Linked DNA regions of Macaca fascicularis. The protein of the gene in region 3 interacts with the protein of the main gene of each other region in a biochemical or structural test. Links are inferred from orthologs where the notes say so. Each region holds a gene or a part of one and is shown on either strand. Other genes may lie near its edges. The genes, in order: GAK, PDCD4, LRRK1, ODF2, CLVS1, POLR2M and CDC42EP3.

Evidence for each region.
Region 1: the proteins of LRRK1 (region 3) and GAK form a complex in vitro, tested with the Homo sapiens proteins (2 studies listed by BioGRID and IntAct, with this or other methods). The link is inferred for Macaca fascicularis from reciprocal best matches to the Homo sapiens genes LRRK1 and GAK.
Region 2: the proteins of LRRK1 (region 3) and PDCD4 form a complex in vitro, tested with the Homo sapiens proteins (2 studies listed by BioGRID and IntAct, with this or other methods). The link is inferred for Macaca fascicularis from reciprocal best matches to the Homo sapiens genes LRRK1 and PDCD4.
Region 4: the proteins of LRRK1 (region 3) and ODF2 form a complex in vitro, tested with the Homo sapiens proteins (2 studies listed by BioGRID and IntAct, with this or other methods). The link is inferred for Macaca fascicularis from reciprocal best matches to the Homo sapiens genes LRRK1 and ODF2.
Region 5: the proteins of LRRK1 (region 3) and CLVS1 form a complex in vitro, tested with the Homo sapiens proteins (2 studies listed by BioGRID and IntAct, with this or other methods). The link is inferred for Macaca fascicularis from reciprocal best matches to the Homo sapiens genes LRRK1 and CLVS1.
Region 6: the proteins of LRRK1 (region 3) and POLR2M form a complex in vitro, tested with the Homo sapiens proteins (2 studies listed by BioGRID and IntAct, with this or other methods). The link is inferred for Macaca fascicularis from reciprocal best matches to the Homo sapiens genes LRRK1 and POLR2M.
Region 7: the proteins of LRRK1 (region 3) and CDC42EP3 form a complex in vitro, tested with the Homo sapiens proteins (2 studies listed by BioGRID and IntAct, with this or other methods). The link is inferred for Macaca fascicularis from reciprocal best matches to the Homo sapiens genes LRRK1 and CDC42EP3.

The regions. Positions count from the first base shown.
Region 1 is NC_088379.1:968,362-972,481, forward strand, and holds part of GAK (cyclin-G-associated kinase), read right to left. Parts: intron 4,053-4,120; coding exon 4,003-4,052; intron 3,485-4,002; coding exon 3,336-3,484; intron 2,778-3,335; coding exon 2,655-2,777; intron 1,994-2,654; coding exon 1,860-1,993; intron 1-1,859. UniProt on the Homo sapiens protein: Associates with cyclin G and CDK5. Seems to act as an auxilin homolog that is involved in the uncoating of clathrin-coated vesicles by Hsc70 in non-neuronal cells. Expression oscillates slightly during the cell cycle, peaking at G1.
Region 2 is NC_088383.1:119,957,939-119,962,636, forward strand, and holds the start of PDCD4 (programmed cell death protein 4), read left to right. Parts: upstream 1-1,437; 5' UTR 1,438-1,528; intron 1,529-4,698. UniProt on the Homo sapiens protein: Inhibits translation initiation and cap-dependent translation. May excert its function by hindering the interaction between EIF4A1 and EIF4G. Inhibits the helicase activity of EIF4A. Modulates the activation of JUN kinase.
Region 3 is NC_088381.1:86,092,012-86,096,131, forward strand, and holds part of LRRK1 (leucine-rich repeat serine/threonine-protein kinase 1), read left to right. Parts: intron 1-518; coding exon 519-691; intron 692-1,791; coding exon 1,792-1,912; intron 1,913-2,157; coding exon 2,158-2,317; intron 2,318-3,468; coding exon 3,469-3,745; intron 3,746-4,120.
Region 4 is NC_088389.1:15,514,904-15,519,718, forward strand, and holds the start of ODF2 (outer dense fiber protein 2), read right to left. Parts: upstream 2,919-4,815; 5' UTR 2,909-2,918; coding exon 2,745-2,908; intron 1,814-2,744; exon of another isoform or gene 1,606-1,813; coding exon of another isoform or gene 1,574-1,605; intron 1-1,573. UniProt on the Homo sapiens protein: Seems to be a major component of sperm tail outer dense fibers (ODF).
Region 5 is NC_088382.1:71,211,527-71,216,190, forward strand, and holds the start of CLVS1 (clavesin-1), read left to right. Parts: upstream 1-1,737; 5' UTR 1,738-1,907; intron 1,908-4,664.
Region 6 is NC_088381.1:34,169,954-34,173,696, reverse strand, and holds part of POLR2M (protein GRINL1A), read right to left. Parts: intron 1,259-3,743; coding exon 1,054-1,258; intron 1-1,053.
Region 7 is NC_088387.1:84,513,800-84,518,041, reverse strand, and holds the end of CDC42EP3 (cdc42 effector protein 3), read right to left. Parts: intron 2,903-4,242; 5' UTR 2,668-2,902; coding exon 1,903-2,667; 3' UTR 920-1,902; downstream 1-919.

The DNA.
Region 1 (4,120 bases), on a different chromosome or scaffold from region 3:
TCCTCTTTCCACGGCTGTGACGAGTGGTCCACTGGCCCGCACACCCTGCATGAGGGTCCTCTTTCCACGGCTGTGACAAGTGATCCACTGGACCACACACCCTGCATGAGCGTCCTCTTTCCACAGCTGTGACGAGTGATCCACTGGACCACACACCCTGCATGAGCGTCCTCTTTCCACAGCTGTGACGAGTGATCCACTGGACCACACACCCTGCATGAGCGTCCTCTTTCCACGGCTCTGAAAGTGATCCACTGGACCACGCACCCTGCATGAGCGTCCTCAGCACATCAGTTACTTCAATTTCCCTAAGAGTCACAGGGTGCAGCTCTTTCATCTCCTCCATCTGGAGGCAGAAAAAAGGGTCTCGGCCAGGTCTGAGCCTCCCTCATAGTAGCTGTGTCCCCTTGCCCAGCCCTCACTCTCCCATCTGTCCTGTGGGTGCCCATGGAGACTGTGCCTTCCAGAGGGCAAGGACCCTTCCAGTCCTGCAACCCTGGAGGCTTCACTCGCCCACTGAGACACTTGGCCTCCACCGGTTATACTCCTTCTGGCCTCCTTCTCTTCTGGGGTCTAGTTATGTCCACCCAGACAGTGCACACACACACCTCCTCCCACAGGCACCTGACTCTCCTTAGATTCTGGGCCAGAGATGTGGAAAGGCCATGAACTTGACGCTGGTCCAGCCACCTGCCCGGTGGGAGCGGCACTCTGCACATTTCTCTGCTCCTCCAAGGAAGGAGCTGTGGGATTTGGTGGGGTCATGGAAGCCCAACCACACTTCACAGGGAAAGAGACTCCCTGGTTCTCAGATGCCCCCTGCTGAGCAGGCCCCACCGCACCTGGCCTGGGGGTGCCAATGGCTTTCAGCTCAATGTGTGGAGGGGTTCCCGACTTTGCTGGGGTCACAGAAACAGCTGGATGGGGCGGCCACAATCTCCTCCCCATAAGGCTGTGAGCAAACAAGGTGGGGCCCTCCCTAGGGATCCACAGCAGCAGGATCGGCCTCCCGACACTCGCCCTGTCCACAGGCTGTGCGCTCCGTCCAGACGGGATGAAGAATGGGGAGTCCCTCGAAGCTTGGGTCCCTCCTCTTCCCTCCCGCCATGGTGGGGCCACGGGGCCGGCCTTTGCTCCTGGGCCGTCTGTGGTCCAGGTCAAGGCCTGCTCTTTCAGAGGCTGGGAGGCTGCTCCAGCCTCACCAGGTCCTCAGTGAGACCAAGGCCAGGGGAGGCTTTATGCTGGGAAGGACTCCTCGGCATAGACACCTGCAGCCTCGAAAAACAGAGCCCTAAACACGCTGTGGCCGCACTCCCGTTTGAGAAAGTCTCCTCCACGCGGCCAGGGAGAGTCTGCTGCGTGCTGAGGTGACCGGCACGGAAGCCTGCACTTGGCAGGGCCCTAAACATGCTGCAGCCTCACTCGGGTCTGAGCAGCGTCAGGTGCTGCACACAGCACCTGTCTCAGGTGGTCCACACGGCATTTTCACATGCATTATCCACCAGAGCCCACCACAGAGGACTCCTGCAGGAGGGACAGAGCGGGGTCCCAAGAGGAGCCGCCCCTGCCCAGCCCAGCCCAGCGAGCACGGGCTACATGTGGCATTTGCCAGAGAACCTCGCGTCCACCCAGAAACTAGGCAGGTGCTGCCCCACAGCCGTCAGGACCACCGCGGCTGAGGGCCCACCCTCCCTGGGTGGGCATAAACCCAGGGCTCAGCTGTGGCTCAGCGAGGCTGGGCCTGCCTTTCCCACCAGCGCCTGCAGTGGCACCGACTGGCCCTCCAGGAGACACCGCAGCGATGGCGGCTGTGCCACACGGGCCCGGAGCCGTCCCGTCCCCGGGGGGCCACGCGGTACCTTTTGTGGGACGGCCAGATGCCTGGCGGGCAGCGCTTCATGCTGAACATGTACACGGCGGCCTCCGCGGTGCTGAAGAGACGGCAGAAGCACAGGAAGGAGCAGACAGCCACAGCAGACGCGGCTCTCCCGTCCTAGGACAGACAGACACGTCTCGCACGTGCCTCGCACTCACGCAGGACAAGGGCTGGCGGGGTCCTCGGCCATCCTACCCGCCCCATGGCCACGGGGACGCAGGGTTGTTCTCTCTGAGGCTGGGACATGTTTACGAAACCACATAACACGCCTGCCGAGGCGAGAACGGAGCCCAACAGAGACCGAAGGTTCCCTAACGAAGAGCAGGGCTAGGGCCGCTCTGACAGGCTCTGCTGGTGCCCGGTACCCCCGCGAGAGACCCCTCATGGAAACCTCAACTCCATCAACCACAGTGGCAGCTGCCACAGCCTGGGAGGCTCAACCACCACTAAGCTTCGCACTGCAGATGGGGAAACTGGAGGTGACTCTTAGGTGGCCACTGTGCAGGAGGGGAGATGGGCTCCTCACACAGCAGAGTGGCCTCCACACAGGCGTGCAGGTCAAAGCCAGGCAGGGCCACATGGGGAGGGGAGGGCAGGGCAGGGCCATCTGGCATCTGTCCCCTCCACACCCGAAGACATTAAGCACAGGGACTTTCTTCCGTGTCCCAGGGTGAAGAACAGGCCCCAGCTCACGACTGGCGCTCGGATGCCGTTGAACTATGCATGAAATAATGAACTTTGATAAAAGACGGCGCCAGGGCATGGCCCTGGAGCTCACCATGCAGTGCACGACACAGACGTTCTTGTGGTCCTGCCGCAGCCAGGCATGCATGTTCCTGCAGATGTTGTACAGGGTGTGCAGGTGCGGGGCCCGCCGCGCTGCCCAGCCACACTCGGAGACCTGTGGGGACAGGGCACGGTGGCACGGACGGCAGAAGAGCCCCGCCCCAGCCTTGGTCAGATCAGAGGGACAGCCTGCCTGCAGCGCAGGGGCCTCTGCCAGCTGGCGTCATAAACAGGCGTCCATCTGCACGAGCGCCTCTGCGGCACCTGAGCACCAGGGCTGCCACTGGCCTTGCAGACCGAGAGCCTCTGCAGCATCTGAGCACCAGGGCTGCCACTGGCCTTGCAGACAGAGCTCGGTCAGCTGTTCCTGGCTTTGGGTCCCCCTGCATACTGACAGGGGTCATGTCTGGAAGGAATGTTGCGGCCTCGAGCACCCTCTGGCAGGCAGGAAGCAGTGAAGAGCTGGGGCCTCCAGGGTTCCCGTCAAGCGGCGTCCTCAGAGCAACAGAGACCCCACCTCGCTTCCTCCTGCTCCACACTCTGTAGCCCCTCAGGGGACCTCCGGCTGCCCCCATCACAGCCGCACCCTGGCCAAAGCCCTCAGCTACACCCCTGCACTGGAGCAGGAGGAAGCTGCCACAGTGGCACCAAGACAAAGCCTGTGGCCACACACCCGGTTGTGGAACCTGGAAGGCCGGTAGGTCCTGGGGGACAGGTTGTAGACAGCATAGTGCCCCGGGTGCTTGGAGTCCAGGAACAACCGCACGTCTTCGATGTTGTTTTTGAGCGCTGACTCCACACCTTCTGCCGGGAACGACATTACTGAAACAAGCAGGCCTGCGTCAGCCGCCGTCCCCGGGAGACGTGTACCTTGTGGCCACGCTGCCGCTGAGGCCTTGCTGCTCCTCACGCTCCCGGGCAAGCACAGCCTCCAGCAGCTCCACCAGCCACTGCCCACAAAGCTGGCCCCCTCACCCTCCGCAGACTCCCGGCCTGGGTGGACCCAGCAGCGCGGACCCAGCCACACGCCCGCCAGCCAGTGGCTGGGACTTCCTGAGACAGCTTTCTGACACATGCCCGATCTCCAGGCACCGGGATGAGTGACTGGGATGCCTGGTGCACAGCCTTGTGTTGTTCCTAGCATGACCTCAGGGAGCCATAGGAGGCACCAGGCTGGGGCTGACCCTGTCCACTGCTGCGCCTGGAGGCGCTGGGCACAGGCCGTCCCTGTGAGTCTGTGGCTGCAGAGGAGGCTGGAGCAGAGGCACCTGTGCCCTGACACACAGCAGGGACTCACTGGGCACACAGGGCGCATCCCACAGCCTCACGTGCACACGTACCTGCAATTCTGGACGTGATGTAAGATATGTCCAGGTCACCCTTTGCGTAACTGGAATTAAAAAGAAGAAAACTTGATTATGACAAGAAACACTCCACAGTTAAGTCACAGGGCTGAAG
Region 2 (4,698 bases), on a different chromosome or scaffold from region 3:
CAGTTACTCAGGAGGCTGAGGTGAGAGGATCGCTTGAACCAGGGAAGTTGAGGGAGGTCGAGACAGCAGTGAGCTGTGATCATGCCACTGCATTCTCCTGGGCTACAGGGCAAGCCCCTGCCTCAATTAAATAAAACAACAACAACAACAAAATAAAAAACTACTAGGGAGGGCCATGAGGCACAGAAGGATTGCACCAGGCAGAGATAGGAGATGAGAAGAGAGACATTTCAAGGTGATATATAAAGAATTACCAGGGGTTGAGGAGGCATATAGGGATATGTGTGGAGACACAGCTTGAAAGTCTTTAAGTCACATTGTGGAGCCTTGAACGACCGACCGTGGCGCTGACACTCAAGAGAGGCAGTGGGAAGCCAGTGAAGGTGTGTGTGTGTGTGTGTGTGTGTGTGTGTGTGTGTGCAGAGAAATAGCAGCATTAGAGATGATTCCCAGGCAGGGTGACTGGGCAGCCAAGGGAAGGCGCTGGCCTGCGCGGGATGAGGCAGTTGGGTTCTGGAGGGACCAAGCAATCATTCAGGTGCTGCCCATCAGACAACTGAAAAATCTTATGAGAGGTAGTGGCTAAGTCCCCTCCTGGGAGCACAGAGGAAGCATAAGGTTCTGGTTATCACCCTCAGGGGACCGTGACGTTGAAATAAGGACAGGACCAGGCAAAACGAATGCAGCCAAGAGGAAAAGTCAGAGAGAACAGCGAGGGGAGGTGGAAGTTTCAATAGAGAAATTGTAGCCATGGCTGAGATTCCCAGCACCGGAGTCCGGAATTAGTGCGTTCGAACGCCAGAGGCTTGGCAAGTCATGATTAGCAAAGGGACTTCAAAGAGTTTTGGGGCCTGTTTTATATCTGTGAAATGGGAATTATTTCTATCTCAAAGGTTTGAGGGGATTCGCTGAGAGAAACTTCTTAGCATGGGATCTGCAGAAACTAGAAGTCATGGAGAAAGCAGGGGTCAGAGGGAGGAGGAATCGGGCAGGCTGATCACTTGGAGTGTTCACCTAAGGAGTGTCTAGAAATGGAGGCAGCGACGTCAGGAAGCTCAAAACCTGTGCTTCAGCCCAGTTTGCAGAACGCCCTGTAAGGAGAATGGGTGAGCTGGGACTAGGCAGCTTCATCCTCGTTCCCATCCCCCAGCACTGCCCTTTTCCCGACGCTCCCATCTCGCCACGCTTCCCAACACACCCCCACCCCGGCTTCCCGCTCCGCTCCCGCTCCAGCCAGTCTCAGGAACCACAAGCGCATGCGCTCTCCGCGCCCCTCTCCAACTTTCCACGTTTCACTCCTCTCCCCTTTCCGCCTCAGCTCCGGCTCCACCGCCACGATTGGCCAGCCGACCACCCGGCCTTGGCCAATAAGCGCCGCCCTCTCGCCCCCGTGTTACTGGGTAGAAGAAAACAAAAACAAACAGAGCGAGAGGGGCCAGAGACTCTCCGAGGCGGCGGCAGAGCCAGAAGAGCGGGGTCGGGGCCGGCTGACCAGGGACCTGGGCGAGCAGCGGCAGGGGCCGGAGGGGTCAGTACCAGTAGGCGCGGCTCACACGCTCGGGAAGACTGCGCCCTCTCCCCCATCCCCCCTCGGAGGCAGCCGCACGATGGGAGGGGGCGGGGGCGTGGGGGCCGCGGCCCTGTCAGGTCCGGGCCAGCGGTGCGGGGCCCCGGCTGCCTCCTCGTAGCCCCACAGGTCCAGCCGCGCCCGCCCCAACGCCCCGGACTGCGGGCAGCCGGCCCGGTTCCCTCTTTCTGGGCCCAGCCTGGAGCGTGGTGGCGCGGGCCCGCCCCCTCCCGGAGCCCTCTTCCCACTGAGAGGGGCGCGCGGGACGCTTGCCCTCGAAGGTCTCCCTCAACCCACCTCCCCCTCTGGCGGAGGTTGAATTCAGGGGCCGGGATTGGAAGGCGTGTTTCCGGCTGGACTGAAATCCTGTGAGGAAGATTCGCGCCCTCCCCGCCCCCTGCTCTCCCTGGGAATTCTCTGAAGATGCGCCCCCCTGCTCGGCGTGACCCTGGAGCTCCGTTCCTGGCCCCGGCCCAGCCCCTTCCGGGGGCCGACCCGGGCTGGGGACTTCGGGGGTCCTGGCCTGAGCCCGCTGCGGGAGAAAGGGTCCGGCCGCTGTGGGGAGGGGCCGCGCGCTAGCCTCACTGGGGGGGCCCTAGGAGGCGAACACGTGCCGGCCGCCCGAGCCCCGCGCGAACTTCGCCGAGCCAGTCCTCCGGCAAAGGGTCTCTTTTTTTTTTAGTTCAGGTAAAATATAATCTCCCAGAGAAAACAAAGCTGGGAAGGGAGCCCCCTTTCTGTGAAACGCATGCCGTCTGCTGCATTTGTCAGTTTGATGCTGTAACGTACATGGAGTTTTGCAAGAGCTTCAAAACTGTCTGCAGACGTCAATGTCGCCCACCTACCCCTTTTGAGAACTCGCTACATAGCCAGCGACTGTGTAGTGTCTACAAATGATGAAAACGATCAGAAATGCGACTACATGTCTGGCAAAAAAGGGTTTCCCTTGTTTTTTAACTTGTATTTTTACTTTAATTTTTATGATTTTGATAACGTGACTTTTTTTGGGAAACCACCAAGTGCTTTTTAAGCAAGGAGTTACTGGCATTTATACCCTTAATATTCCTTCATTATAGGCTTATTGAATACCTTAATATTTCAGTAAGTGTCTTGGAATTATAATTGATTGGCTTTTTCTGTGGTACTAATGTGAAAGGAAAAATAATTGTTAGGACTGCAAAAATAAATGCCACTTGAATATTATCTGTAGTGCTCACTTTTGCATTACTGTAGTAGAATGCTTTTAGCTGGTTTTAAGCTGCTAATTAGCTGTTTGTAGCCGGAGAATGAATACAAGTAATCCTAGTTAATAAATGGCCAAAGCTTGACTCCCCAAAATGCCAGAGCAATTTATGAGGTATAGTTCAGGAAATACATATATATTTCGTGGGAGAGTGGAGGGTCTCTTAGGGAATGTTTTGGCAATTGAATACTTCTGATTGCTTGTTTCATGTAACACTGAAGAAAAGGACAGTGTTTAATGTCAGCCTTCATTTTCTTCTAACTTGTATGTATAGTTTTCTCATCGAAAATTCATTTTTGTAGGTTAGTATGAAGGAAATAGGGTTTGGATTTTTTGCTTTATATTTTCTTGTTTGGGCCAAGTAAGGGTGGTTAAATAAATTGGAAAAAATCCTACTACTTTAAAGAGAAGAAAAACGTAGAACGTGTCTTATGCTTATCTAAACTCTTAAAACGTGTTTGTTGCTCTCAAATATGACTTGAGTTCTTGATCAGGTTATCATTGCCTAACGACACAGGACTATTAAGATAACTTTGTTTTTATCTTAATAAAAGAGATGATAGTCATTTCCTGACAGTTTTCTTTGTTTGACGGAATGCCTTCTGTATAATAGTTTAAAATAATTATTTTTAGTGTTTGGAAAACAGCATTTAAAAGTTTGATTTAACAGCAGAAGTCTGTTTTAATAAGCTTCTGGTAACCCTTGAAAATAATCTTCCTGTGGGTTATTAAAATCTTGGATTGAACTTGTGCAAACAGTACTGGATTTGGAAGGTCTGAATTCTCGTCCTGGCTGTTTCACTAAGCAGCTGGCTGTCGTTGGACATATCACCTATCCTCTCTGAATCTGTTTAGTTGTGTGTAAGGTACTTACCTGAAGATTGTTCTGTAAGGTACATTAAATAATACATGTACAATTCTTTTTGAATTGTAAAGGGCTTTATAAACATTAGTTATAATCATTTCACTTATTGGGCTCTGCAGAAAATATTCTCTCAAAGGTTATGCTTTCATCAAGAATGAAAAAGACTTTGTAATGGAACTCTAAAAAACTGAAACACATATGACATTATTCCTTTTCTATATGTAATTCATGCATGGAATTAAAACAGAATGTGGCCTTTTCAGCCATGAAGGATGCTGAATGTTTAGATTTGCAAATCATTTTTGTTCATGTATTTATATGAATCTCTACATATATTTAAGATTTTTTTCATATCTAAAGTTGGCGGGAGTTGTATTAAAAAGTGATTTTAAAGATTCACATTATTTTATTCTAAATAGAATTAGAGAATGATTTCACCGTTTTGTTAAGTTCCCAAGCAATATGATAGCATGTTAGTCTGAGGATTATGCCATAGCAAGAAGCTTATAGGCCGGGTAGTGGCTCACGCCTGTAATCCCAGCACTTTGGGAGGCCGAGGCGGGCGGATCATGAGGTCAGGAGATCGAGACCATCCTGGCTAACACGGTGAAACCCCGTCTCTACTAAAAATACAAAAAATTAGTCGGGCGTGGTGGTTGGCACCTGTAGTGCCAGCCACTCAGGAGGCTGAGGCAGGAGAATGGTGTGAACCTGGGAGGCGGAGCTTGCAGTGAGCCAGAGATCACACCACTGCACTCTAGCCTGGGCAACAGAGCAAGACTCCATCTCAAAAAAAAAAAAAAACCTTACAATTTTAACACAAGGTCCATTTGTTTTTGCTTTGCAAAATAGTACCCTTTTCTGAAGAAAAGGGCTATAAACTTGTGTTAGCAAATAATAGTATATAATGTGGAATTTAAAAGTCAGTTTCACCTTTGAGTCCCAGGAGGCTCTGCATATATCATTGTTATCCTTAAATGACATCTAACAGTAGGTTACGTTATATGGAAAAAAATGTGCTTT
Region 3 (4,120 bases):
TTACTATAAAGGAATGACTGAGACTGAGTAATTTATGAAGAAAAGAGGTTTATTTGGCTCACAGTTCCACAGACTATACAAGCATGGCTTCAGCATCTGCTTGGCTTTTGGTTAGGCCTCAGGAAGTTTTTAGTCATGGCAGAAGAGAAGGAGAGCCAGCATGTTACATGGTGAGAGAGGGAGCAGGAGAGAGAGGAGGAAGAGCCAGGCTCCTTTTCACAATCAGCTCCTCTGTGAACTGACATAGGGTGAATGCATTCATTACTGCAGGAGGGCACCAAGCCATTCATGAGGGATCTACCTCCATGACCCAACCTACCATCAGGCCTCACCTCCAACACTGGGGATCACATTTCAACATAAGATTTGGAGGAGAAAAACATCCAAACCATCTCAAGGCTGCAGATTGGTGGCTGAGCAAGGGCTGTGGCATCCGGGGTCAGCACAGCTGGGAGCTCTGTCCTGTCCCTTGTTCAGTGAACAGAGACGATACTCAGCCGTGGGGTTCTCTGTTGCAGGCCAAGGCCCCAAATGCCGTGGTGCTGGTGGTCGGGACACACCTGGATTTAATTGAAGCCAAGTTCCGTGTGGAAAGGATTGCAACGCTGCGTGCCTATGTGCTGGCGCTCTGCCGCTCCCCCTCCGGCTCCAGGGCCACAGGCTTCCCAGACATCACCTTCAAACACTTACAGTGAGTGCCCAGCCTCTAGCAGCTCCCGCCTTCATGTGGGTGCCAGTCGCTGATCCTTCCTGGGATCTGCTTACAGAGAGCTCCTGAGGCTGGGTGGGGCTAGGCCCCTTCCCTGGCCAAGGGGGGGCAGTCCACAGAGCTGACCCAGCCTTGGAGAGGGTGAAGACCTACCAGACAGCTGGCTGGGTGAGGCCTGGAGATGCCCCCTCTTTGCTTCCTTTCTGCCCTGTCCCCGCCCCAAGGGCCAGTGCTGAAACTGCATGGTGCCCATTGAACCAGGTGACTGAACATGGGCACCACCCATCCAATTGCTGCCCATCTCATTTTTTGATCACTGATCAAGGACAGACCCTGGGGAGGGAGGACCTAGCCCTTGCCTTTGGTCTGAGTGGTCCTGATAGCAGCCTTTGAGTTAAAAAAGGCCAAGAGTTGGGAGGGGCTTTCGGGTGGGCATCACGACGTGTCCATGCAGATAAGTTCAATTGCCCTGGGCTGACCTCCTGTCACTGGTTGTGGGGATTGTTTGCCACCTTGTAGATGAAGAAGCTGAGGTTCAGCAAATTGTGTGCCCTAATGGGAGTAAAATATACTGCACATTGCATTAGCTGCCCTGGCAGCTCTCAGATTCCCTCGCCCGGGGTGGAGCGTCATGGGTATTGGTGCGTGGGTCAGCCTGGGACACATTGGCCTGGCTCGGAATACGGGATGAGGCTGTCAGGAATTATTGCTTTGACCTTGAGAAAGTCCCATAGGGTCTGTGATAAGAGGAGCCCTGGCTCTGGGTCAGAACCTGAGACCAGCCTGCGTGAGCCTGTGCCTGCCCAGCTTGTGCCCTTGGGGGTCTCAATGTACCTCTGCACCTCACTTTCCTTCTCTGTGAAGTGCCATGTTTGGTCTAGGAAGACAGACTAAAGCGACAGTGTGGGGCACCCAGCACAGTGATTTGCACAAAGCAAGGCCTCAGTAAACTTCTTGTGTTGTCTTTCATGAGTTCTCCAGACTTGCCAGCATTCAGGACAAACCTCTTGGGAAAACAGAGAAGCTGCAGCACTTCCTCGGAGTGGGGCACGATGAGTAAAGACGGGTCTTTTTGCACACAGTGAGATTTCCTGCAAGAGCCTGGAAGGCCAGGAAGGGCTGCGGCAGCTGATCTTCCACGTCACGTGCAGCATGAAGGACGTGGGCAGCACCATCGGCTGCCAGCGACTGGCAGGGAGGCTGGTGGGTACCTCGCTCGTCCAGCTTAAACCAGTAGGCCTGCTTCCCATTGTTGGGGATCCTCACTTCCCCTCTCTCCTGTGAAGCCCATGTCCATGTGGCAAGGCTCAGTCGTTCTTGGTGAGGGAGGGTCAGGATGGAAGATAGTGGGTGGAAATGTCCCACCCACTCAGGCCACAGGGGCCAGGCAGGATCTGCCCCAGCTGGCGGGCATGCCTCGGGAATTGCCTCGTCCGTCTGTCCCCCAGATCCCCAGGAGCTACCTGAGTCTGCAGGAGGCCGTGCTGGCAGAGCAGCAGCGCCGCAGCCTGGACGACGACGTGCAGTACCTGACGGACAGGCAGCTGGAGCAGCTGGTGGAGCAGACGCCCGACAATGACATCAAAGACTACGAGGACCTGCAGTCGGGTGGGTGGGGCTGGGGTGGGCGGCAGGGTGCCCGTGAGAAATGGAACTGTCTGTACTTCAGCCTGGCCCTCAGCAATGAATGAGAGACCGATAATCAGCCTGTGTTTCTGTCTTCCATCCCCCTCCCCTTCCTTCTTCCCTCTCACCCTTCTTTCCTTGGAGGTAGAGAACACAAACAGCTACTCTACACCAGCATTGTGTTGGCCACAAGGGCAGACATATAAACTGATGGACTGGTCCATGCCCTCCAGGGCTGACGTTCAGTCAGGGAGACAGAGGTCAAACAGTTACAATCGATTCTCATTAGCCACAGGACTTATGTTCTGTAAAGTCACCATGATCACTGAAATAGCAAATACTAAACCAGTGCTCCTAGGAGAGACGCAGGGTTCAGCTCCTGCAAGCCTCTGGTCAGAACATTCTCATCAGCCCATCAATACAGAACCTTGTTTTATGTGTGTTGCTGCTTAAAGACACTGTACTTAATATATAGTGTTGATTTGTTGGCATTGAACTCATGGTTAACAGTACTGTTGCTCATTCCTGAACAAAACTTATCTAACACACAGGTTTTCTCCATAAGGCACATCGCAGCCTTCTCACGCTTAGGGAACTACACAGCGCTTCAGCACTTCACTTGGGACCATTTTAAACAGTGAAAGCATCAACAAAAAGCACAAAAATTCAAAAAACATGGCACTGACATAGACCACTAAGCAGGCCCCTGTTTTCAGCACGAGAGTTGAGAGTGTTGCCCTGTTCAGCCTCCGCTGGGAATGTGCACATTGGTCAATGCAAACTTTTCACCACTCAGCACATGTCTGCAAATAACCACAGGAGCATTGATTTGGGGGTCGCAGATAAATTTTAGTAAGAAGGCAAATTTGCAAAGGCGGAATCCACAAATAATGAGGATCAACTGTAGTTACCGAGGTGGCCATTAGCCTAGGACTTTGGCAAGAGTTACCAGGGGCCACCAGGGCACCTGTGATCAGGCTGCCAACCCACCTGAAGGGTCCAGCATGTGGGGCATGTTGGTTTCTTCCTAGGAAGAATTTGTGACCTGGGTCCCCTTGGAAAGTAAGGCCACCCCAGAGTCCCTTTCGCTCCTTTGTCTAACTGCTGCTTCCTCCTCTCCTTGCCTGGGGCAGCCATCAGCTTCCTCATAGAAACTGGCACCCTGCTACACTTCCCAGACACCAGCCACGGCCTGAGGAACCTCTACTTCCTCGACCCTATTTGGCTGTCCGAATGTCTGCAGAGGATCTTTAACATTAAGGGCTCCCGGTCAGTGGCCAAGAATGGGGTGATCAGAGCAGAAGACCTCAGGATGCTACTGGTGGGGACTGGCTTCACACAGCAGACGGAAGAGCAGTACTTCCAGTTCCTGGCCAAGTTTGAGATCGCCCTGCCCGTCGCCAATGACAGGTGAGGATACAACTTACCATGCCAGGCTGTGCAGGTTGCTCCCCGAAAGAGGGATTTGGGGTCTGGAGCCACTGGTGGCCTGAACAAGATTTCCAGGGATCAGTGCTGCCACTGCTGCCCCCTAGGGACAGGCCAGCACCTGATGACCTGCTTGCCTGGCCTGGGTCAGCGGGACAGTGAGCACAGCTGGCCACTCCCTCCTGTGCCCCGGGGTTCTCTGTTCAGGGAGTTAAAAGAAATCCACTTATTGAAAAAGTGTAGGAAAACGTGAAAGGATGTCATTAAAAATAATTTGTGGGAATTTCACTTTACAGAGGCTTGATTGCTTGGTTATTTGGTAAATGAGAATGAGTGGCCAGTTAGGTGGCTCACACC
Region 4 (4,815 bases), on a different chromosome or scaffold from region 3:
AGCTCCTAAGCAGCAGGGGATTTTTTTTTTAATGCCATGTGTAATTCACATTGCTTACACATATACTGTACAGCCCCATCAACAGATCTGCAAAGACAGAAAAAAAAAAAAAAAAAACAGAGAGAGCAAAAGTTTAAAAGTTTAATTTGCTCCAAAAATCTTTCAGCAGTACATCCAAGAACTCCAGGACTTGGAATTACCATCTGATCCATCTCACTGCCCTTTTTGTTTTTGTTTTTGTTTTGAGATGGAGTCTCACTCTATCGCCCAGGATGGAGTGCGGTGGCCCAATCTTTGCTCACTGCAAGCTCCGCCTCCCAGGTTCAAGCAATTCTCCAGTTCTCCTGCCCCAGCCTCCTAAGTAGCTGGGATTACAGGCGTGTGCCACCATGCCCAGCAAATTTTTTGTATTTCTAGTAGAGACGGGGTTTCACCATGTTGGTCAGGTCTTGAACTCCTGACTTCAGGTGATTCGCCCACCTCGGCCTCTCAAAGTGCTACGATTGCACAGGCATGAGCCACCGCACCTGGCCCCCAAAGTGGGGAGAGATCAGAGAGGCTGAGCAACCAGGGGGTGGCGGGGAGGGTGGGGCAGAGACGGGGCGGTCCCAAATTATCATCCTGCCCTCTCTACAAGTACTTGAGGAAAATAATGCAATATCAAAATGCAAGGAAAAAATACTTGAGCACTGTAGTATGCGTTTTGCTGTATGTGTATTACATCCTGATTTTAAAAAGAGGCAATGGCCAGGCGTGGTGGCTCAAGCCTGTAATCCCAGTACTTTGGGAGGCCGAGACGGGCGGATCTCCAGGTCAGGAGATCGAGACCATCCTAGCTAACACGGTGAAACCCCGTCTCTACTAAAAAATACAAAAAAACTAGCCGGGCGAGGTGGCAGGCGCCTGTAGTCTCAGCTACTCGGGAGGCTGAGGCAGGAGAATGGCATAAACCTGGGAGGCGGAGCTTGCAGTGAACTGAGATCCAGCCACTGCACTCCAGCCTGGGCGACAGAGCGAGACTCTTGTCTCAAAAAAAAAAAAAAAAAAGAGGGAATATGTATATATATATAGAGAGAGAGAGAGACAGAGAGAGCGCTCTACTGATCCTTTAGCCAAGGAATACCAAAACTGAGAAGACAGGCTTTTTTCCCTAATCATTCAGAACATTGTTCACATAAAGCCAACAGTTTTGGGAAATCTCTCAGTGGGTTTCCTGTCAAACCACCTGGATTCCATCATCTTGCTAACTGCCACATCCACCTCCGACATGTTATTTACACCTCAACTCCCTTCAAAAAGGCTCTGAACCTAGTACTCTATGAAGACAACAAGAGTGACCCTGTTTGCTTCCAGGAAGCTGTGACATTTGGGGAGGGAAGGAGCCAGGGAGGTAGAGCTGAGATTGTGTATACATTTCGTTCCCCCTTCCCTTTAAAAATGATTTTTAAATGTTTTGGTCCAGACTTTCAGCAAACACAATGAGGAAGCTGGAAGCCTCAGGCGAGCCTGCCCTGGGGACCCCTGGCCACCTTTCCCTGCCCTCGGGCGCAGGCGCCTCCCACATCGGCAGTACCTGGGGGAGCCGCCTGAGGATGAGGCAGACATGGCTAGGCATCAAAGCCGCAAAGGTGGGCAATTGGGTCAGCAGGCTCTGCTCAGGGGGACCCAGAGGGGCGGGCTTTTCAATGAGCCTCTCAAGGGGCCCGGCATCAAACGTCCTCTCTGAGGGGAGAAGGGTGGAAGCTTTGGGGTTGGCAGTTGGATGAAAACTTGGGAGGCGCTCCTCTACTGTCCAAGTCGCACAGCAACTGTCCTGCCAAAGTAGGGGGAGATAGGAGAGGCTGAGCGACCTGGGGGCAGAGGGGAGGAAGGGGAGGGGACGGGGCAGAACGGCGAGGGAAAAGTACCACCGCGCCCGGGCCCCACGCGGAGGACGGCCGGTGGCTACCGGGGGAAACCTGAGGCGCCGGCGGACGTGCGGAGAGGGCAAGTGAGAACCGCTCGGCCCCAAGTGGGCCCCAGAGGGCCGGAACCGCGCAGGGAGCAGCGGGGATGCTGGGGCGGGGTCGGACAACTGTCTCCTAGGAGAAGGGGCGTTCCCGGAAGAACAGGTGCCCGAGAGGACCAATAGTGTTTGAAAGAGGGAGGCGCGGAGCCCGGGCGCCCCGCCGCGAGGGAAAACCGAACAACCGAGTTCTAAGCAGGTTAGACATCGGGCTGGGAGGGGGCGGGCGGGACCCCCGCGGGCGAGGGCCCTGGCGACCCGGAGACGGTGCCCGGGGGACAGCGCTGCCTACGGAGGGCCGGCAAGTGACTGCCGTGTGGAGGCCCGCGGAGAGGACGAGGCAGTCGGGGCGAGGCCGCCGGCGGGCAGCAGAGCGAGGGACAGCCTCTGTCGGCGGAGAGAAGGGACGGCCACCCACCAGCAGGCAGGAGGATACCGGTTTCTGCCCATAGAGAGAAAGGTGAAGCCCTGCCCGCGGGCGGCAGAAGAAGGGCAGAGCCCCGCGGTAGCCAGGAGAGGAAGGAGGCGGCCGGCCGCCCGTTAGCGGGAGGAGGAGAGGTCCCGTGCCGGTGGGCGTGGCGGGGGCCCAGGTTCTGACAGGAGGGGGACGAGCGCGACGCGGCGGGGAACGCAGGACCCGACGGCCCCGCGGGGCCGACAGCGCCGGGGGTACGAAGGCGACGGTCTCGCCCGCGGTGCCCCGGAGCGCGCTGGATCCCGCCTGCCGGCGGCCTCTCACCAGGAGCGACACGGCTGAGCCCAGAAACGCCGCCTTATGAAGTCGTTGAAGTCGGAGGCCAGGGTCGTGCCATGGAGACGCCGCGGCGGATGCAGTCTGGCTCTGGCGGCGGCTCCTCCCGGCTTCCGCCTCCTTTTCCGACACCCGGTCGGCAGCTCGCCCATTGGCCAGTTCAAACCCCCCCGGGAGCTGCTTGGGCTTCGCCATCGAGGCCCAGCCCCTAGCGTCACAGAGATGCCCCGCCCCGCCAGAAGCACCGCCCACTTCCGGGCCAAGCGTCCCGTCACCAAGGAGACGTGCGACCCGTCCAGCAGGCCTGGCCTGGTCTCGCCCCCAATTCAAGGGCTTTCCCGCTCGGCCCTGTTTCCCCTGTCTTGGGTCCTCCCAGATTCCCCTCACTCAAAGGAGCGTACGGTTCCGACGCGCTCCCCTTGGTACCCACCAGGAAACTAGGCTCACAGGGGACCCACGGAACACGTTATTGGGAGCTGCACACTGCCTCCGAAAATCCAGCCCTGCCCCTAATCCACTGTTAGTGCAGAGATGGAATCGGCTTCTGCGCATTCCCCGGCCTCTCTCCCCTGCCCACATCGCCTCTGTCTTGGGCCCAACAGGAAAAAGGGTCGGCATTCCCCTTGCGCTTCACTACCCTCCTGCACTCTGTTTTTTTTTTTTTTTTTTTTTTGAGACGGAGTCTCTCTGTCGCCCAGGCTGGGGTGCAGTGGCGCGATCTCGGCTCACTGCAACCTCCGCCTCCCAGGTTCACGCCACTCTCCTGCCTCAGCCTCCCGAGTACCTGGGACTACAGGCGCCCGCCACGCCCGGGTTTTGTTTTGTTTTTTTTTTTTTTGTATTTTTAGTAGAGACGGGGTTTCACCATGTTAGGCGGGATGGTCTCGATCTCCTGACCTCATGATCCGCCCGCCTCGGCTTTCCAAAGTGCTAGGATTACAGGCGTGAGCCACCGCGCCCGCCCGGCCTACTACCCTCCTGCACTCTCCATGCCGCTCTGTGTACAGACCTATTCTGATGAGGTCCTTGCTGGTCCGCCATCTTCTCAATTATGCTTCGCTGTCAGCCAGTCAGGGGAGGTCTGTCACGTGGCTCATAATGCCGCCCTGGAATCTGGGAGACCTGAACAACCTCCGAGCCAACTGGGCCACAGTCCCTTGACCTTTCTCCGGTGACCCCGCAGCACCTTAGCCACACACCTCCAGGGTCACACAAGTTTTTCACCTGCAATCCTAAAGTCAAACTCGCAAACAAAACCTGCTTTTCTGCCTCACTTTCACAGTATACTGCATACTGAATTTGTTCTGTAATGTCAGGGAGCTCCCCTATTCTTTGGTCCATTCATTGTCTCTCTGTCGAATAATTGACAGATTTCCTAATCCTCATTGTAACCCAACCTTTTAAGACTCTGCGGTGGCTCACGCCTGTAATCCCAGCACTTTGGGAGGCTGAGGCAAGCGGATCACCTAAGGTCAGAAGTTCAAGACCAGACTGCCCAACATAGTGAAACCCCGTCTCTACTAAAAATACAAAAATTAACCGGGCGTGGTGGTGTGTGCCTGTAATCCCAGCTACTAGGGAGGTGGAGGCAGGGAGAACTGCTTGAACCTGGAAGGCAGAGGTTGCAGTGAGCCAAAATCACCACTGCACTTCAGCCTGGGTGACAGAGCGAGACTCTGTCTCAAAAAAAGAAATACAGGTTCAAGGAAAAGAGGACAGGAAAAGGAGGTCCCAGTCCTCCTGGGGCAGGCAGGAGATGGTTCCCAGAGGTGATGGTATTGGAACTGAGCCATGAAAGATGAGTGGAAGTTCGCCAAACAAGCAGCAAAGGGAATTCTAAGCAGAGAGCAGTAGGTACGCAGTTACCACATGCAGGTACAAGAGAACACAGCATCTTCTATGAAGCATCATTACTGCAGTCCGTTGAAGTGTTACAGGGCCAGTGATGAGAGAAATCCTGCCAAAGTCAGCAGGACCAGACTATGCAGCGTCTGGTAGTCCAGCCTAAGGTGTTGGACTTCATCCCTCAGAAGCCTGGAAAGTCATGAGAGGGTTTTCA
Region 5 (4,664 bases), on a different chromosome or scaffold from region 3:
ATAGGGCTGGGAAGTGTGGGCAAGCATCAGGATATTAGATGATCAGCCTATATTTCTGTCATAATCTGCTCTAGTGGTTACCAAAAATATCTTAGCCCCCATGGAGCCATAGAACACAGAACTTACCACCAATAGATCACACCCTACCCATCTCCAAAAATTCCTTCACTTGCTGCAACCATTTCTGAATTTTGAATCTCTAAGTTTTAGATGGTTGTCTTATCTCTACATCATATCCAGATGTGGATTCTCTCATTCTGAGAATGTATAAACTAAGAACTGTGTTGTTCCAGGCATACTTGTAAGTGCTTGGGAAGCGGTAGTGAACAAATTATCTGCCACATGGTACTTACATTCCATCAGAGAGAATGACTAAACAAATAAGTAAATATGTAATACTATGTCAGAGTTGGAAGAATTCTGATGACCTTGAAGTCTTTGAAATATATGACAGAAAGATTGCTTTAAAATATTTTATAAGTTTTCTAACTTTTTAGTAAATGTGAAAACTTTAAACAAATACAAGTAAGAAAATCAAGTTATCTTGGCAAAAAGAAAATTTACCCATGATGATATAACTGATTTGAAAACTGGGGAAAAATGGGAATGCTGTATTTGATATCTTGCTTTCCTTCACTTAACACTTTGCAAGTATTATTTTTGGTCTTAAGCAGTTTTCAAAAATATGTTTTAATAGCTCTAAACATTACAGTTTGTATGAAAAATTAATGCTTTTTTATTTTTTGACATTTATGATCATAAATGAAATTTATACACATAAATCTTTGCATATCTGAATATATCCCTAGCATAAAGTACTAGAAATGAAACTACTGGATCTAAATGCCATGTATATTTATGACACTGGATGTACATTGTGAAATAGATTTGTAAAAATGTTATGCCATCTCACTATTATTCCAACAATATAAGATATGCGTATTTAAAACTTCAGCCCAAACTGCCATATTAAACTGCATATTTCCATTTACTGGTGAGGTTGATATTTAAAAAATGTGTTTATTATGCATCCCCATTTCTTCTGTAAATTCTTTGTCATTTAACATTCATCCTTTTTTTCTAAAAGGCTGTTAGTGTTTCTCTTTTATGTGGTACTTTGTGTATGAAACATCTACTTGCTGCAGTTTTTTAAAGTGTTAATTTGTATTTACTTTTTTAATATTTTGACATTCAAGAGTGTTTTTATGCACTCAAACTTACTGATCTTTTTCTTTTTTATTTCTTCTATTCCTCTTGTGCTTAGAAAACCTTCCCTATCCTGAGATCGGTAAAATATTTCTGTTCTTCTAGTTATATTTTTAAGTTTTATGTTTTTGATAAAAACATCTATGTGTAATTTATTTTGGTGAAATGAGACTTTGATTTGAGTCTCTTCAAATAGTTCATTTTCTTAATACCATTTGTTAGTAAAATAATTCATCCTTTTTCCCCATAGGTTTGTGATACTTTCTTATCTGTCAGATTTACACACACACACACACACACACACACACACACACATCTGCTTTTGTGCTTTCATTAATCCGTTTGAAATATTCTATTTTTAACTTTGTGTGGGGAGTGATGGCGCCGGTACTTTTTGTCCCAGGTGTTAACAAAATTACAAAAAATTATTGGTACTTCTCAACGGAACCAGGGAGGGTTGTGGTACGGAGGCATTTAGGACCCAGGGGAAAGCTAGGCTCGCTATAGAAGGACAGAGAATCGGGCGCACACGCCTCCTACCAAAAATCACAGCCCCGTGTGGAGCTCGAGCTCTCATTCACAGCTTTCTAGAGAAATCTGAGCCCGAACCTGCCAGAATAGGGGATCTCACCCACCCAATTCAGCAGCGAGGACACCTGCAGAAATACATTCCCAAAGCAAGGCTGGGCGGCCGTGTGAAGGTATTTGTTGCCTTTTTTCTCCCCTCTGTATTTGCAGAGCCTCCCCGCCTTTCCCCCGCTCTTGCGATGCCATGGCTGCGGCGTTTCAGCACTTCGGTATGTGGACAGCTCCCATCTGCAATCCCTCTGCACTCCATCCCTCGCGCACCGCACCCCGCTCCCCGCCGCCTCCGCGGTCCATCCTGCTCCCGGCGCCCGCTCAGCCTGCGCCCCCTTACACATCAGCACCCCCATCTCCACCATCACCGTCATCATAGCCACCATCACCAGCGCCGTAACTATAGTCACACAAGTGTGTCTTGCCACTTAGACAAAGCCCGAGGTCCTCAGGGTAGAGGGAAAGAGCTCAAGTTGACAGGCATAGGAAGGAAAGTTCAGGTGAACAAACCCCTGAAAACAAAGAGAGACGCCTGTTTGGAAGAAAGGGAAAGTGAAGGCAGGAGGGAGAGACCCCAGGCACGGGGACAGATGGGGCACTTGCCAGACACCAGCAGTTAGCCAGCTGCCTTTCAGCAGATTAGGGTCTGTTTAGTTGAGGAAATTAACATGGCCTAGGGCATAATGTGATTCCAGAAAAATAGAAATGTAAGCTCAACCTGTTTCTGCTTTTCCAATGGAGAATCACCAGGAAGCAGGGTGGGGGTGACTGATGACTCATATTCACCCACACGTCCGTTTCCTTTCCTAAGTGTTTAAACGCAGAAACTCTAGAATTAAGTTTTTTCTTCTGTTTTTACTAAAATGTTTTGCAAAATCGGGACCCCAGAGATTAATTCAGGGCAGAATAAAAATAAAAATGATGGTAATGATTGTAACTTAAGAAAGGGGGCTCTCATTCGAATGAACTATTTGTTCCAATGTTTCTTCCTGTCTACTTATTTCATTTCTATTTCAAATCTTAAACCTCTCTTTGGAGCAAAGAAAATAGATCCCTTGCCCAAATGGCCAAAGTAGTAATGATATTCAGACCAGATGGCCTTGCTTTGTTCATCATCAGTCAAGGACTGGCTCAGATTTGGAAGGCTAGATTTTTGTGTGCTTTCTCAGTAATCAGGTGATAACACCATTTTCCTATAATAGTAAAGGGTAATAGAGTGCAAAAATTGAAAAGGCATTTTATGTAACTCCGTTCTGCCAGGCTCTGCTTTTAGAGTGCTATCATTTTCTATCTCGGCTGAAGGGAAGTTGGAACATCTTTCAAATGTCTGATTAATTTGAACCTGAAAGTCTAAGCCCAAGTCATAGTCCTTATTTGATCTAGCCAGGATCATCTGTTTTATAAGAGCTAAAAAGCACCAGAAAATAAGTGCCTGAGCCTGTCATAAATAAAAATATTTTGCTGGGTGCTCATTTAATTGACTTTTACTGAACAGTAAAGCATTGGAATTTTTTGACAAGTGTTTTTAATGAAATTAACATCTTAATTAAAAATGAGATCATTTAAATGGGAATAATAGGTCACATGTGACAAGAAAGTTTAAAACAGAGCACAGAAAAGCTTGATTTTAAAATTGCCCTTGTGTATTTATTCTGTCTCTTAAAGACAGTGAAGGAAGTTTCATCTAAACCAGCTTGCTCACCATTAGAGGCATTGTTGAGAATAAAGACAGTCACAAATACGTATCTTCCTGAAGAAGTTCTGAGGAAAATTCATACTTAATTCACTTTTAGAATGAGAAATAGTAGCATTGCATCAAAAGTTAATTACTGCCACTAATTATATAGATATGATTCCACCTGCCTCTAAATTCATTCACTTTTGGATCCCAAGCAAGAAAACTTGCAAAATATGTGGTGAAATGGATTTTATAGAAGAAGAAAATTTGATCATCCACATAATGTCCTTGGTTTGGTAATATCCACAGTAACCATAATCTCTTAAAAGTCCCTGAGAAAGGAGATTCTTAAAATTCTCTTTTCTGTCTGCAAAGAATGGTTCAGCTCAGACAATTTTTAAAAGTGTACATATTGCCAATTCTAGCTGCTTCACACAAGAAATGCAGGCCAGGAATCCAGTGCCTCTAGAGCTTCTGTCTTCCTGTGTTTAATACAATCTCCTGGGGCTGGGGAAATTTTAAAACAATGCTGCTTCAGTGAGATTTACAGGCATCTGTCTGTAAGCAATGACTTTTCTTGACTGAAATGTTATGCTGAGGTTATTGATTTTTATAGAATGACAGTATCCTGGCTTTCTTACTTAAATCTTTTCTATTGAGAGCTATTTCGCCTTTAAAAATATTTTCAATAACAGAAATTACTCATTTTTATAATGGATTTAAAGGTGAAGAGAAAATGTTTTCCAGCAGTGTCATCATATATTTTTGTAGACATGCTCATAGAAGAGTGTCTCATTTAGAATCATGGAGTAGACAGCTGGAAGGTCTTTCATTTCCCAAAAGGCAAAATCTCGAACTTTTCAGAACTGGTGGTGTCTGCTCACTTCCGAAGGTTTTACAAAGAGAGGCACTTTATTATCCCTTAGAAGTGTTTTCACAACTTTACATACTCCCTGATAGCAGAGCCTTCCATCCTTAGTAAATGGATCCAGGCTGACTTTGATCTTCTCTAGTGTCCCTGTTACACAGTGACTCAGACAGAGGAGGCAGCACAGCAGAATGAGTATACAAAATATGAAGCTTGACTATATCCAATCAGTCCAGAAATATGTCCTCAACATTGCCAAGAGAGACCTTCTTTTCAATCTTCTCCCAAATATTGCTTGTTTTGACTGTTGTTAATTTTATCCAGATATCACCA
Region 6 (3,743 bases), about 52 Mb from region 3:
GCCTGTTTTGCTGGGTTTTTTTTGAGACAGGGTCTCACTCTGTCACCCAGACTATACAGAGTGCAGTGGTGCGACTGCAGCTCACTGCAGCCTCGACCTCCTGGGCTCAAGCAATCCTCCCACCTCAGTCTCACGGGTAGCTGGGACCACAGTTGCATGCCACAATGCCCGGCTAATTTTTTGGTAAAGATGGAGTCTAGCTATGTTTCCCAGGCTGGTCTCGAACTCCTGAACAGCCTGGTGTGATACTGGCTGGTACACTAGTACCTGACTAAAATCTAGCTAAGCAACACCTAGGAAGTGAGACAGGATACTGTTCTCCTGGAGGCTAAAATTGTTACTAAATACTTCTAAACTTTTCTATTCCCCTGTGGTGCTTCACACTTATTTTCTCCCATCCCATTACTCTGTATACAAACTCTCAACATACAAGTTTAAAGTTCAATGCAAAACACATGGAAACAAAGTGCTATGCAAAATTGATTAAGTTGCCAAAAGCAGATTTTTTCTCTTCACATAGGCCTGCGGATTATGCTCTGAAACAGTGTCTCACTGTCTGCTGGCTATACAACATTATCCTCCCACTCCTTCTATGCCCTCCCCTGTACTGCAGGAGATGGAAGCCTGGGAACTACATTTTCCTCATTCTCTAACAAGGGGTCTGGGTTACAGTCCACCACTCAGAAGCTGTCACATGGGTTTTACAAGGTGAAAGGGAGAGATGCGATGCTACTACTATCCTAACAGGAACAGGCAGGTACATGAGCTTCAAGACATGAAATTCTACAAGTCTCCCCACATTTCCTGGCAAATCACCACTTTCATGTTGAAGGTAGCTGTGATCATCTCTAGCCATTTCCTGCAGTTCTAGCAACTTTATGACTCTGAAAACTAATGGCATAGGTCTCTGAAAACTAGTGGCATAGGTCTGAGCTCATGGAAGCACCTAATCCCCTCTATTCCATTCCTTCCTCCTTGAACCTGGAGTAAATTCTGGCTTATGTAAGAGGCACCAAACAAACAGACAAGAAAAAAAAATAATACTCTAAATACCTCATAATTCTGTTTCTGTTGTTTCTGAAGTGCCAAAGATTCTTCTATGGAGAGCAGCTGCGTAGGCATATGGTGAAGCGGTAGAAGCCGAGCTGCTGTGATGTCATCAAGATGCTGCTTATCCCTGCGCCGCCGCTCTTCTGAGGAAATAGGAGACCCGCTTTTCTGACAATGACTAGACGAATCATTTTGTCGAAAAGGTAACCTGATGAAAGGAAAACTTGTGCTATATAATCAGACTATTTTATTTGTAGACACATTTAAAACATTCACACAAATGACCTTTACCTCAGCAATTAACTCTCCTCCAAAGGTAACAGTAAGCAGTTTACCAGTATTTATTGCTCTAACAAACAGGGGTGTGTTTGTGTGCACACAGGCTCTTGCCTTTTCCTTCCTTATTCAAACCTTGTATTTCATCTGGAGCTTTTTTTTTTTTCATGTATCATTCAAAGAACATTTGCAAAAGGGCTTATTGCCCAGTAGAAAGAAAGAAACATGTAAAGTTTCAGTGCAATATAATACCAGAGGTACTATGGCAGATATCTCAACAAGATACACTGGAACATTAGGAAATGGCCAGTTCTAGTGGGAGACAGGGAGGCTGTAAGAAAAGCTTCTAAAAAGCTTTGAAGAGTCTTGGAATAACTGCTTACCATTTAAATAAGGAAAGAAGTGCATCCCAGCAAGGGGAGTGAGAGAAAGTACAGAAGGTAGAGAGACTCAGCTTTTCTGGCTACACAGAAAAGACAGCCAGAAAGAAGGCTGGGAAGTAGGCTGGGCCCAGACTGCAATGAAGAGTTCTCCGTAACAAATTCAGATTTCCACCTTACAAATTTCACTCTGGCAGCAGTGGAGACTGACTGGTAGTTAAGACTAGAGGTAGAAGAGGCCACAATTATAGCCCGAGAGAGATGAGAGTCTTCACTTCGACAGAAGATGAAGAACAATTATAGAGATGAAGATCAAAGAAATAAGTAGGTCTTCATGGCTAGCAGATACGGAGATGAGAAAAATGGAAGATACCTTAGGGGAAGAAAACAAAGAACGTAGTGGTCCTATTAAGAAATATGGAAATTACCTTGGAAAGAAACAGAAGTTCCACTTTGTACATGATTAAGCTGAGGTGCCTAGGAACACCCAAGTGGTCAAGTTTCATGGTTAATTGGCTATGCAAACCTAAAGTTCTGGGAAGATCTGGGATAGAGGTGGACAGGGGTCAGCCTCCAGCATCCAGGTGATACATGAAACCAGAAGAGTATGCAGAAGGAAGAGCAGAAAGGACCCAAGGACACTAAATGACCCCACCTTCCAACCTCCAAGCCACTTCTCACATGGAACCCTCTAAATCCTTGTCTATGGCATAAGGACTCCTCAAAGCCCTGTCTTTCCTGTTCTCCTCTAACTATACAGAAGGCTCCCTGTCTCTTCAACTTCCTGAATTCTTGGTAGCCCTCATCACTATTCCCTTACCTCTCTCCCACTCCCAGCTAAATGACCGTAATACAGAACTGGGATTAATGTATTCTTTGTTGTATTTATTGACTAGATGATGGTTCTAGTTTCCTAAAATGTCATCCTGGAAGTGAAGAAAGACACCTCACTGTACACAAGAGATGACTTGATCACATTAATGCAGTATAATCCTGATTTTCTATACGGCAGAAATAAAATGTTTTGCGGTTAAAATGAATGCTGGGGTAGAGTTAAAGTCTAACAAAAAAGAAGCATGTGTTAGGCACTTTTCACTAGAGATTTTCTGTTTTTCAAAGAAAGGTAGTAGTAATTTAACTTTGTATTTGATGTTACATACTTGTAAATACAGTATAGGAAGGTACCTTTTGAGTTGAATGTTACATTTGCTGCAAGTAAATAGCAATTATTTTCAAAAAGACTTTACTTTTCCTGAAATTTCAGAAACAAATTTATGGCAAGGAACTGATAAGGAGAGTTTTTGCCTATCCTGCCTGAATCTATTTTCAGTTTTTCAAACTCTCCTCAGCTTCCTTCCCCCTGAAACTGTTATTATGTAGCTTAACTCTTTTCCAAGGGTGTAAACCTTGTGTCCTCATCTAGCTCTGAAACTCCTTGAAGAACATGGTGTTGTATTACATTATACATGTATACATTACAGCCATGTTTTTAAACTTGAGGTATAACATCAAAAAGGCAAAGAAGTTTAAGAATCTTGACTTCACTGTGTCCCCACAACACCTGCTGCTTGCTTACATTCAGTGAGCATACAAATAATTTTTGCTGGAAAGCCGATCAGCTCCTGCAATTGCTTTACCCTTAGTTCGCAGACTAATCAAAGAGAGTACACTTTGATAGTACACTAATCAGAGCTGTACACTAAAAAATAGTTCTGAAAAAAAGACGTCATAATAAATTCTCTCCAACTCTGTGTTTATTATGAAATATTGGCTAAGCGTCCTGAAATTTAATATTCCCCCAAGTGCTATTTAAGACCCTGTCAATTACTTAGTTTCAAAACTAAATATTTTTCAGCATGAACCTTCCACTCCAGCCAGGCTGGTCTCAGTGTTTCCACAATATGTTCTTTCCTAACTACAAGTAGTTCTCATACAAAGCCCATGGAACTTAGAGCATTCTCCTTATTTATGAGAAAAGGTCTTATTATAAGTTGCCCAAGCTGGTCTACAACTCCTGGACTCAAGCTGTCTTCCCAC
Region 7 (4,242 bases), on a different chromosome or scaffold from region 3:
ATGAAGTCCAACACAAATTTTTAAACTTTCTTAAAACAGTCTGAGGTTTTTTTTGTTTTGTTTTGTTTTGTTTTGTTTTTTTTTTTTGCAATTTTCTATTTTTATTTTTTTAAGCTCATCAACTATGGTTAGTGTTAGTGTATTTTACATTTAGCCCAAGAAAATTCTTCCAATGTGGTCCAATAAAATATTGGACACTCCTGCCTAGGGGAACTTGTTTCGTCTACTTGATTAGTTGTCCTAATTGCATTTCACCTGCAGTCCAAAGGTTATTTTAGATGATAGAATTGCAAGAACCCCAAACCCAAAGAAAGAATCGTTGAAGTGGTTGGGAGAGGAGGTCATTTCTGAGATACATTTCAAGGAGAAATACCAGTTTGAGAGAAGGAGCTGGTAGTTATTGTGTGCAAGTGTTTTTCTTTGATGGGGAAGGAGTGGTTGGCAAAGAGACAGGAATCTGTGTATACATTTCCTGCTCCTGTTTCCTTAACCACCATCCTCAGGGCATCTCTGGCACCTTGGGATGGGGTAAGTGCTCTCTACTGCCCTCGCTTTAGCTGCCTTAATCTTGTCTATATGGCACTTTCTGCATGAACAGACATTTGCCTTACAGGGATGAAACTGGACTTGCAAGAGTTTGCTGTAGAAGGGTTCAAGTCAGGAAGATGCTCAGAAATGAGGACTGAGAGGGTGGCATCAGTGTTGACTTTAAAAAAAAAAAAAAATCTGACCTCACATGTTCATCTTTCCTAAAGTAGAGAGGCTCAGTTTCTAGCCTCTCAAACCATAAGGAAGTAATCAAAATTAGAGCAGATGGAAAGCATCTCTTACCTTAAAGGCTCATGTACATTTCAGAGAAGCAACTTCTCTAGCTAGACTTATTCTTTTATGGTCTTGTTTATTACTATAAACAAGCAAGTTCACTTTATCATTTACTCTTTATTGTGTTGTTTGAAGTACCTATGTAATGCAAGTATGTACGGTACTAAAATACCTATATTTCCAAAAACATCATGTGGGGTAGACCACAGTCTCTGCAGAAGCATCATGAGTAACCTGTGCCTTTATACTTTACAATTCGTTATTGGTTGCTGTTAAAGGTATGATAACAGATGAAGAAAAAAAACTAAGTATGAATATACTTTTCCAAACACACACATACACAGCTTACAGTGGAATCCCAATGGAAACAAGTCAAGTGACATCTGATGTAGGATCTATAAAATGTAGACTCTGCAATAAAAAGCCAAAGGCACGTAAAAATATATTTTAACTTTAAAAATAACTTAGTTACAGTAATACTTTGCCTGTGTCTTACCAACATGTAGCTGACAGTCAAAAGTTTGCAATATAGATATAGAGGGATATATAAGAACTACAAGAAAATCCCCAAAACCCATAAGTTCAAATGTGAAAACAGAAAAGTTTTAACACTGGAGAATTCGCTATGGTGAGCCCAAGCAGTATAGAAAAGAGTCTACAAAAAGGCTTAGGTGTTAAATAAATTTTGACTTCCTCTTGCTCAGAAAATGTCGGAGTGCTGTAAAGTTCCATAAAGTTCCTCAGTGTGACTCGCTCAGACCTTCATAGCTAGTGCCAATCCTGGCCAAGCCAGATTTCTTGTGTGTCTGCAAACAATGTGTGAGCCGAACATCACCAATGCCTGCTGAAAAATGGGCTCTGACTCACTTCCTCTTTTTGCCAAGATAGGTTTTGCTGTGTTGTTTTTTCCTAAATTGTTTTTGCAAGGAGGGCATACCAGGTAAAAAAATACTTTGTAAGAATATTATTTTAGAAAACCCATCACAAAATTGCAAATACAGCTCCGGAAGCCCTTCTCTTCAACTGTGGTTAGTTTAGTTTTTGTACCTTTTACCCCAAAGGAAAAAAGTTGGCATCCTGTTACTTATTTTTATCCATGACATTCAGCACCTCATCCAAAAGTGAGGGCCCAAGATCAAGCTGCAGGGAGAGGAGGGAACCTGTAAGGTCAGAGAGGGACTCCTCTGACTTAGTCTTTCCCTTGATGAGCTCGCATGGGGCGGGATGGTCAAACATGTCCTCAGCTGGCCAGTCGGGGTACTGTTCGGACAGGCTGGAGGAGTGGCTGTCCCTGCCCTGGCTGGACTGAGATGCAGAACCGCTGGAGCCCCACGAGGTGTCTCCCTGGTGGTCTGTCCCATTCTCCAACAGACTGCTTTTCTCCTGAGCTTTTTCCTCCATGACAGGCTCGCAGCTAAGCCTGGGCAGCTTTGCTGGCCCAAAGGACTCCTGTTTGGAATTAAATGTCACCGGTGACAATAAGGGCAGCATGAGAGCTTGGGACCCTCCAATGGTCGGGAGGGAGATGGCATTTTTGAGCACCGGGGAGGGTGTTTCTGTGAACACAGAGTCCGAGGTGCTGTTGGCCCGGAAGAACTCGTTATGCCCAGGGAACTGGCCCAGGTGTGCTTTCTCCTGGTTTCCAGGTAAAAGCTCGTAGTTCCCTTGAAGAAAGGAAATATCTCCAAAGACATCGTGCTGGCCCTCTTTGCCGATGTGGATGGTGTGGCGAAAGTCTCCAAGCGGGGGACTGATCATGTCGGGAGACAGAATGTCCCTCAGTTTAAATTTCTTTCCTTTCTTGTTATTGGCTGCTTTCAGGTAAATTGGGGTCTTGGCTGGCATTTTGGAATTTGAGAATGTCTATTTTGCAAGTGGAAAAAAGGGCCACTTTCTTCACAGATGGTATATGTTTCTGAATAATCCTTTTTGATAGGAACTGTCACATCATTTTTTCAAGTGGCTTCAGAAGTGGCTTTGAAATGAGATGGGGTCAGAGAACCTTCCTGAGGTTACGGCCAAGTGAGGCTTGCTAGAGAGCCAGTTACATCATCCAGTCTTGACCACAACCAGGAGAAACCTGGAGAAGAAACCAAAGCAGGTTATAATCTAAAGACTCATTTGGGTGCCCTAGGGCCTCCCTTTTCACAAGAGCCTGTATATAATGGCAGGGCCAGTTCCAACTAATGCGAACTTATTGTTTCCCTCCAGTAAGTGGATAAAAATTTTCACCTTAATCTTAAAGAGAAAACAAAACAGGAAAGAGAAAGACCTAAAAACCCCAAATCTATGACACCAGTACTTTTTAGACATAGCCATGAACACATCTTCTGGACATGTCTACAGTTGTAGTCATTTTCCTCTATTCTAAGAATTGCTGTAAGCATAGGATCAGTGATTTCAGCTCCTTAAATACAACTGGACTTGTTTTAAAATACATTTTCCTTTTGCTTTGATGTGCATACTAGCAAGACTAATGATATTTCACTGAGTTCCATACGTACATAAGTTAATGCAATAAAATGAATAGTCCTACAAGGGAAGGTACTGGAATTATTTAATAAGTGACAATAACTTATATGCTACTGTCCTATAAAATATTAGTGGAATACATTCTTACAGATAAGAAAATGGAGATTCAGGATAAGCCCTTCCCCCAGAAAGTTACCTTTTCTCAATAACATATAGCCAATAAACAAGACAGCTAGAGTTGGAATTGGGTTGTGGCAAAGTATTGGGCTGTCGAGGACGTCAGGATTTGAAGGCATTCTGAGGTGGGAGGAGATGAACAAAACCGCTGCACCTCAAAGAGACAACATTGTGATTTTCTATTATAGGCTGGGCGTTCACTTGGGAACACCTCTGAAACATTACTGATAAGGCTATATCCTCCCTGCAGTAGGCAGAATTCGAGGGGAGCCCCCATGATCTGCCTCCTGGTGTTAATGACTTTGTAAGTAGAACCTATGACTGGCTTCTAACCAAGGGAATATGGCAAAGGTGACAGGTCACTCCCTGATTAGGTTACATTATAGGAGATTCCATCTGAGCTGACAAGGGAGAAGACTTGCTGGCTGTGGGGAGGTGAGCAGTTATACTGTGTGAGGGCCTATGGAAATGAAATCTGCCAACAAAGTTGGGGAGCTTGGAAGTGGATCTTTTCCCCAGTTGAGCCTCTGATGAGACCATCACCCTGGCTCACACTGAATCACAACTCAGTGAGATGCTGGAACTCAGCCCCACCCAGATTCCTGACCCACAGAACCTGTGAGATGGTAAATGTTGTAAGCCCTCAAGTTTGTGGTCATTTGTTACCAGTGTAGAAAGCTAACACATCCTCCCTGCACATACTATATGGTGAGATTAGGAGGGCATGAGCTATAAGAAGGCATTGGGGATGTAATGTCCTCTTTTGCCGAT